2 linked regions of the Saccharomyces cerevisiae S288C genome follow. The protein of the gene in region 2 interacts with the protein of the main gene of each other region in a biochemical or structural test. Each region holds a gene or a part of one and is shown on either strand. Other genes may lie near its edges.

Evidence for each region. The genes of interacting proteins can lie anywhere in the genome.
Region 1: the proteins of PFY1 (region 2) and ACT1 form a complex in vitro, tested with the Saccharomyces cerevisiae proteins (4 studies listed by BioGRID, with this or other methods).

The regions. Positions count from the first base shown.
Region 1 is NC_001138.5:52,760-56,533, forward strand, and holds ACT1 (actin), read right to left. Parts: upstream 1,938-3,774; coding exon 1,928-1,937; intron 1,619-1,927; coding exon 501-1,618; downstream 1-500. Other genes in the region: YFL040W (uncharacterized protein), read left to right, coding at 1-213; Rab family GTPase YPT1, read right to left, coding at 2,607-3,227; TUB2 (beta-tubulin), read left to right, coding at 3,577-3,774. UniProt on the Saccharomyces cerevisiae protein: Actins are highly conserved proteins that are involved in various types of cell motility and are ubiquitously expressed in all eukaryotic cells.
Region 2 is NC_001147.6:550,558-554,388, forward strand, and holds PFY1 (profilin), read right to left. Parts: upstream 2,331-3,831; coding exon 2,318-2,330; intron 2,109-2,317; coding exon 1,741-2,108; downstream 1-1,740. Other genes in the region: glycerol 2-dehydrogenase (NADP(+)) GCY1, read left to right, coding at 557-1,495; Paf1-complex subunit LEO1, read right to left, coding at 2,619-3,831. UniProt on the Saccharomyces cerevisiae protein: Binds to actin and affects the structure of the cytoskeleton. At high concentrations, profilin prevents the polymerization of actin, whereas it enhances it at low concentrations. By binding to PIP2, it inhibits the formation of IP3 and DG.

The DNA of each region.
Region 1 (3,774 bases), on a different chromosome or scaffold from region 2:
GTTTTGATTTGGTTCCCAGAAACAAAGGGTATGAGCATAGAAGATATTGATAAATTCTTCGAATTTGAGAGTAAAGAGGGCACCAATTTACATGGGGAAAAGGGTATCAAAACGCCGGACTCAAATTCTAATGGCGGTTCTACAAGATCCTCCCAAGAAGGGCAATTGCATAAACCTATAAAACTGAAAAGCGATGAAGAGATGATCATATGATACACGGTCCAATGGATAAACATTTTTTATCAACACTATGATATATAAATATAATAGTTTTTCGTATATATATTCCTTTTTTTGGTCAATTTTTGAAATTTTCGTAGAAAAGGGAGAGACAAAACACATTATATCAATGAAAACGTACAAAAAGTAGATAAAGTCAGTGCTTAAACACGTCTTTTCCTTAAAAATACTTTATTATTTTTATTTTATTGAGAGGGTGGTTTAAAAATAGAAATAGAGAGAGAGGTACATACATAAACATACGCGCACAAAAGCAGAGATTAGAAACACTTGTGGTGAACGATAGATGGACCACTTTCGTCGTATTCTTGTTTTGAGATCCACATTTGTTGGAAGGTAGTCAAAGAAGCCAAGATAGAACCACCAATCCAGACGGAGTACTTTCTTTCTGGAGGAGCAATGATCTTGACCTTCATGGAAGATGGAGCCAAAGCGGTGATTTCCTTTTGCATTCTTTCGGCAATACCTGGGAACATGGTGGTACCACCGGACATAACGATGTTACCGTATAATTCCTTACGGACATCGACATCACACTTCATGATGGAGTTGTAAGTAGTTTGGTCAATACCGGCAGATTCCAAACCCAAAACAGAAGGATGGAACAAAGCTTCTGGGGCTCTGAATCTTTCGTTACCAATAGTGATGACTTGACCATCTGGAAGTTCGTAGGATTTTTCAATTGAAGAAGATTGAGCAGCGGTTTGCATTTCTTGTTCGAAGTCCAAGGCGACGTAACATAGTTTTTCCTTGATGTCACGGACAATTTCTCTTTCAGCAGTGGTGGAGAAAGAGTAACCACGTTCACTCAAGATCTTCATCAAGTAGTCAGTCAAATCTCTACCGGCCAAATCGATTCTCAAAATGGCGTGAGGTAGAGAGAAACCAGCGTAAATTGGAACGACGTGAGTAACACCATCACCGGAATCCAAAACAATACCAGTAGTTCTACCGGAAGAGTACAAGGACAAAACGGCTTGGATGGAAACGTAGAAGGCTGGAACGTTGAAAGTTTCAAACATAATTTGAGTCATCTTTTCTCTGTTTGATTTAGGGTTCATTGGAGCTTCAGTCAAAAGAACAGGGTGTTCTTCTGGGGCAACTCTCAATTCGTTGTAGAAGGTATGATGCCAGATCTTTTCCATATCGTCCCAGTTGGTGACAATACCGTGTTCAATTGGGTAACGTAAAGTCAAGATACCTCTCTTGGATTGAGCTTCATCACCAACGTAGGAGTCTTTTTGACCCATACCGACCATGATACCTTGGTGTCTTGGTCTACCGACGATAGATGGGAAGACAGCACGAGGAGCGTCGTCACCGGCAAAACCGGCTTTACACATACCAGAACCGTTATCAATAACCAAAGCAGCAACCTCTAAACATATAATATAGCAACAAAAAGAATGAAGCAATCGATGTTAGTACATGAGACTTAGTAACAGTAGCAAATAAAAGAAGAATATCACTATCACTTATCACGAAAATATTTCAGTTTTTTTTTTTTTTCCAAATTTCAAGCCCCTATTTATTCCAATAATATCGTGGTTATTACAGATCAGTCAATATAGGAGGTTATGGGAGAGTGAAAAATAGTAAAAAAAGGTAAAAGAGAAATCTCTCGAGCAATTGGGACCGTGCAATTCTTCTTACAGTTAAATGGGATGGTGCAAGCGCTAGAACATACCAGAATCCATTGTTAATTCAGTAAATTTTCGATCTTGGGAAGAAAAAAGCAGTAAGCGTGAAAAATCTAAAAGCTGATGTAGTAGAAGATCCTATTCTTTAACAAAGATTGACCTTTTCTTTTTCTTCTTGGTTTGAGTAGAAAGGGGAAGGAAGAATACAAGAGAGAGGAAAAAAAGGAAGATAAAAAGAGAGCGTGATATAAATGAATATATATTAAACAAGAGAGATTGGGAAGGAAAGGATCAAACAAACCCAAAAATATTTCAAAAAGGAGAGAGAGAGGCGAGTTTGGTTTCAAAACGGTTTATTTATTTATGCAAGAGGACGTGGAAGAAAAAGAAGAAGGAAGAAAAAAATTTGAAAGAAAAAAACGCGTGGCGGGTAAAGAAGAAAATGGAAAATAGAGGCCGGGTGACAGAGAAATATTGAGGGTTAATTGGAAAATATGTTAGGGTGAGGCATATGTTTTTAAGGGTTTTGAGGATCCGATAAGGAAGAATGTAGGTTAAATGTTGTGCATTAATTGCTGTGGCAGCTTACCCGCTTCCCCACACATTTTGGTAGTATCTGTCCTCTTGTTATTGTTACTGTAATTGTGTATATATGTTCTCGCGTGTGTCTTATTTACTTATTTAGTTATTATATTATATGGGTCTGCAAGGTAGAGGCGCGCTTGTTCAACAGCAGCCCCCACCGGTGTTGGTTAAACTCTGTCCCTTCAGGTTGACGTTCCCTTTGTCTTCCTTCTTCTGAGTGGTTTCGTTCAGGTTTTGTTGGGACATACTTTCCTTGATTTGTCTAGCCATGGTTAAAAACGCATCCTCGACGTTGGTGGAGTCCAAAGCACTAGTCTCTAAGAACGGCATCTTATTCGCGTCCGCAAATTCCTTTGCCACGTCATATTCCACGACACGCTTGTCCTTTAAATCACACTTGTTACCTACCAATAGCTTCAACACTGTTGAGGTTGCATACCGATCAATCTCTTGCAGCCACATCTTCACGCCGTTGAAGGATTCTTGGTCAGTGACATCATACACGATAATGATCCCATGCGAACCACGGTAGTAAGATGAAGTGATAGTACGGAAACGTTCTTGACCTGCAGTGTCCCAAATCTGTAGCTTTACAGTCTTGCCGTCCAGTTCTACAGTCTTAATCTTGAAGTCCACTCCAATTGTGGAGATGTAGTCGTTGGTATATGTGTCGTCCGAAAACCTCAAAAGTAAACAGGACTTCCCGACACCGGAATTCCCGATCAACAGCAGTTTGAACAGGTAATCGTACTCGCTATTCATATTAGTGCTTTTCTTGTTTTATTTATTTCAACCTGGGCCTAACAGTAAAGATATCCTCCTCAAAACTGGTGCACTTAATCGCTGAATTTGTTCTGGCTTCTCTTCTTTTTCTTTATTCCCCCCATGGGCCAAAAAAAATAGTACTATCAGGAATTTGGCGCCGGGTCACGATATACGTGTACAGTGACCTAGGCGACGCCACAAGGAAAAAGGAAAAAAACAGAAAAAACAACAAAAACTAAAACAAACACGAAAACTTTAATAGATCTAAGTGAAGTAGTGGTGAGGCAATTGGAGTGACATAGCAGCTACTACAACTACAAAAGCAAAATCTCCACAAAGTAATATAATGAGAGAAATCATTCATATCTCGACAGGTCAGTGTGGTAACCAAATTGGTGCTGCATTCTGGGAAACTATCTGTGGTGAGCACGGTTTGGATTTCAATGGGACATATCACGGCCATGACGATATCCAGAAGGAGAGACTGAACGTGTACTTCAACGAGGCATCTTCTGGGAAGTGGGTTCCAAGATCTATTAACGTC
Region 2 (3,831 bases):
GTTAAATTTTTTTTTTTTTAAATTTCACTTTCTAAAGTCCCAGAAATCCGCTTGAATGTCTTACATATTGCAATGGATATGCTTGGGTGATCATACTTCCTGGCTTTAGATATTTGAAACTTAACTCTTGTCAACAAACTTCCTATGGAGTGTATAAGAATTGTAAGTTATAACACCGGCGAACAATCGGGGCAGACTATTCCGGGGAAGAACAAGGAAGGGCGGTCTTTTCTCCCTCATTGTCATAGCAAGGTCATTTCGCCTTCTCAGAAAGGGGTAGAATCAATCTAGCACGCAGATTGCAAACACGGCTTAATAATATGCCTATCAGGCATTCACCCGTGTGACGAATCGCACACCGCTGCTCTCCTTAATTCCCTAGAGTAGAAACCGAGCTTTCAGGAAAAGACTACGGCAGTAAAGAATTGCTTTACTGGGCGTATAAAACCGGGAGAATCAAGACATTCTAATGACTTGATTCAGGATGAGAGCTTAATAGGTGCATCTTAGCAAGCTAAAATTTGGACAGCTCTCATTACTAAATTAAGATAGAAAAATGCCTGCTACTTTACATGATTCTACGAAAATCCTTTCTCTAAATACTGGAGCCCAAATCCCTCAAATAGGTTTAGGTACGTGGCAGTCGAAAGAGAACGATGCTTATAAGGCTGTTTTAACCGCTTTGAAAGATGGCTACCGACACATTGATACTGCTGCTATTTACCGTAATGAAGACCAAGTCGGTCAAGCCATCAAGGATTCAGGTGTTCCTCGGGAAGAAATCTTTGTTACTACAAAGTTATGGTGTACACAACACCACGAACCTGAAGTAGCGCTGGATCAATCACTAAAGAGGTTAGGATTGGACTACGTAGACTTATATTTGATGCATTGGCCTGCCAGATTAGATCCAGCCTACATCAAAAATGAAGACATCTTGAGTGTGCCAACAAAGAAGGATGGTTCTCGTGCAGTGGATATCACCAATTGGAATTTCATCAAAACCTGGGAATTAATGCAGGAACTACCAAAGACTGGTAAAACTAAGGCCGTTGGAGTCTCCAACTTTTCTATAAATAACCTGAAAGATCTATTAGCATCTCAAGGTAATAAGCTTACGCCAGCTGCTAACCAAGTCGAAATACATCCATTACTACCTCAAGACGAATTGATTAATTTTTGTAAAAGTAAAGGCATTGTGGTTGAAGCTTATTCTCCGTTAGGTAGTACCGATGCTCCACTATTGAAGGAACCGGTTATCCTTGAAATTGCGAAGAAAAATAACGTTCAACCCGGACACGTTGTTATTAGCTGGCACGTCCAAAGAGGTTATGTTGTCTTGCCAAAATCTGTGAATCCCGATCGAATCAAAACGAACAGGAAAATATTTACTTTGTCTACTGAGGACTTTGAAGCTATCAATAACATATCGAAGGAAAAGGGCGAAAAAAGGGTTGTACATCCAAATTGGTCTCCTTTCGAAGTATTCAAGTAATTGTTTTTGCGTGTTTCTCGTATGATTGTAATATGTAGATAAATTAAACATAAGTATATCAAATGTCGATATTCTTAAGACTGTTTCGTAAATATGTTAAATACCGGATGTGACTACATATAAAAAGTGCGCCTTTTACAGTGATAATTAGCGTCAATCAATAAAATATTTGTAAAATAGGAAGCGAAATCCCGCAGATGCCAGAATAGGTGGTGTATAAGGCAAGAAAACTTTACCTGCATAAATTAGTATTGAACACCAATCAAGTAGTCAGCCAATTGCTCGACAATCTTGGTGGCCTCACCGGCTTGTACGGTTGGTGGATAATGAGCAATAATAACGGTTTGCTTAGTTCTTACACAAACAACACCCTCAGCATCATGTCTACCGTAGATACTTCTATCGTCAGCTCTCAACAACATGAACTTTTGGCCTTGAATATGCAAACCATTGCTTTGCAAACCAGCTGGATTGTCGAAGCCTTGAACAATTTCACCAATTTCGTTTGGTTGCAAAGATAGGCCACCAGAAGTAGCCCAAACAGCGTCACCTGCTCTCGAGTAGATGACAGCTTTGTCGACTTTACCGGTTCCTATTAAGTTATCAGTGTATGCTGTTTAAAAGTAGGAGAAAAAAACGGAAAGAAATTCATGTTTGAAATTTCATATGTTTTTTGATATTCCAGTTAGTAATTTACTCTGAGTGGTTAATCTTCGAAATTACGCGCATCAACAAAAATCGGGCATTGCCAAACATTGTCACACAAGCTAACCTCCGACTCATTTCTTTCTTAATCAATTGATAATTGTCTCGTTCACATACCTTGCCAAGACATAATTTGCGATCGTAGTTGGGTTTATGTTGTGTATGTAATTTATCTTTTCTCAAGGATCACACAGTTGTTTTAAGAAGGGAATGAGAAAGGGTCAACTGAGCTTTAAAAAGAAAAAAAATATTAATGCGGGTAATGAGTTTCGTACAAAGACATTTCATGGCGTGTTCTCGCCAAAAATCATGGTAAAACCTCCCACACAGTAACCTCATACTAAATACTACAACATGTCATCACTCCATTTCTTTGCGATTGTACATACTAATATATATAAACAAAGTAACGTCTCCTCTAATCCTCGTCTTCGTCGTCCTCGATGACCGCAACCCTTCTTCTTTTTGTCTCGCTCCTATCTTTTTCTTCTTCTTCCTCTTCTCTGTACATTGCTGCTCCTTCTCTTTTTAAATTTCTTAGACGAGAGGCGTTCTCTTCATCCGCGTCCTCTTCTTCTTCTTCTTCCTCATTATCATCCTCTTCGTCGTCAAACGCAGCCTCCTCTTCCTCATCGTCGTCGACTAAAAAGTCATCTTCTTCATATTCATTTCTTCTCGAGGCTCCATAGGTAGTGGGTGAATTTTGCTTTCTAAATCCCGTCTCAAAAGCGGCATCTGGGGATTCTTGTTTCTCCTTTTCTTTGAGCTGTCTTCTCCTTCTGTCTCTTAAAATCTGGCTTTGCTTTCTCTCTAACTCCTTCTTTTCCACTTCAGGATCCATACTTACAATGTATGTTCCAGGACCCTTGCTTTGTCTTTGGTTCCTTCTTATAACAGCTTTACTTAGTTTTTGATGTATTTTTGAATTCGTCGAAGTTGGAATAAACATCAACGTCTTTTTTATTTCACCCCCTTCGTAACACTGGATCAACTCTTGTTGGTCATGCGATACTGTCAAAAAAGTGTTGCTCGTATCGTTGACCAATATATCTGTACACTCTTCACCAACTTTTAGCGAATATGTACCGTCTGACCACTGCACTATTTGTGTATTTGATTCTTTAAAGACATGTTGGTCTTTGTCACGAGAGTATCTCCATCTAACAGTGTTTTCATCAATCAGGCGGTCGTCCAGTTGATCCTCCCTAGAAGCTGAATTGCTTGCCCTTTCGTTTACTTTGGCCTCAAAACTTGGAGGGTCGAAAGGAATTGGATCGATAGTTAAAAAGTTGGGAATTCTAGCATAGAAAATTTCGTTGTGAGACGCCGTTTCATTCACATTAGCTTTACTTGGAATAATATGTCTGACAAGCTCTACATTTTCCTCTTTAAAAGTGTGAGTAGTCTCATCTTGATCAGAAAAGTTATTAGCATCCTCACCATAAAATTTTCGGGTGTACATGGCTTGCTCCTCTGCTTCATCATCATCTAACCCGAGACTTTCTCTATGACGACTTCTATGGTTGATATTCTCTCCCTCGTCGTCTTCATCACTATCACTATCACTTTTTTCAGTCTCCGATTTTTTAACATCATCATCATCATCGTCATCATTGTCATCTCCAAATAAA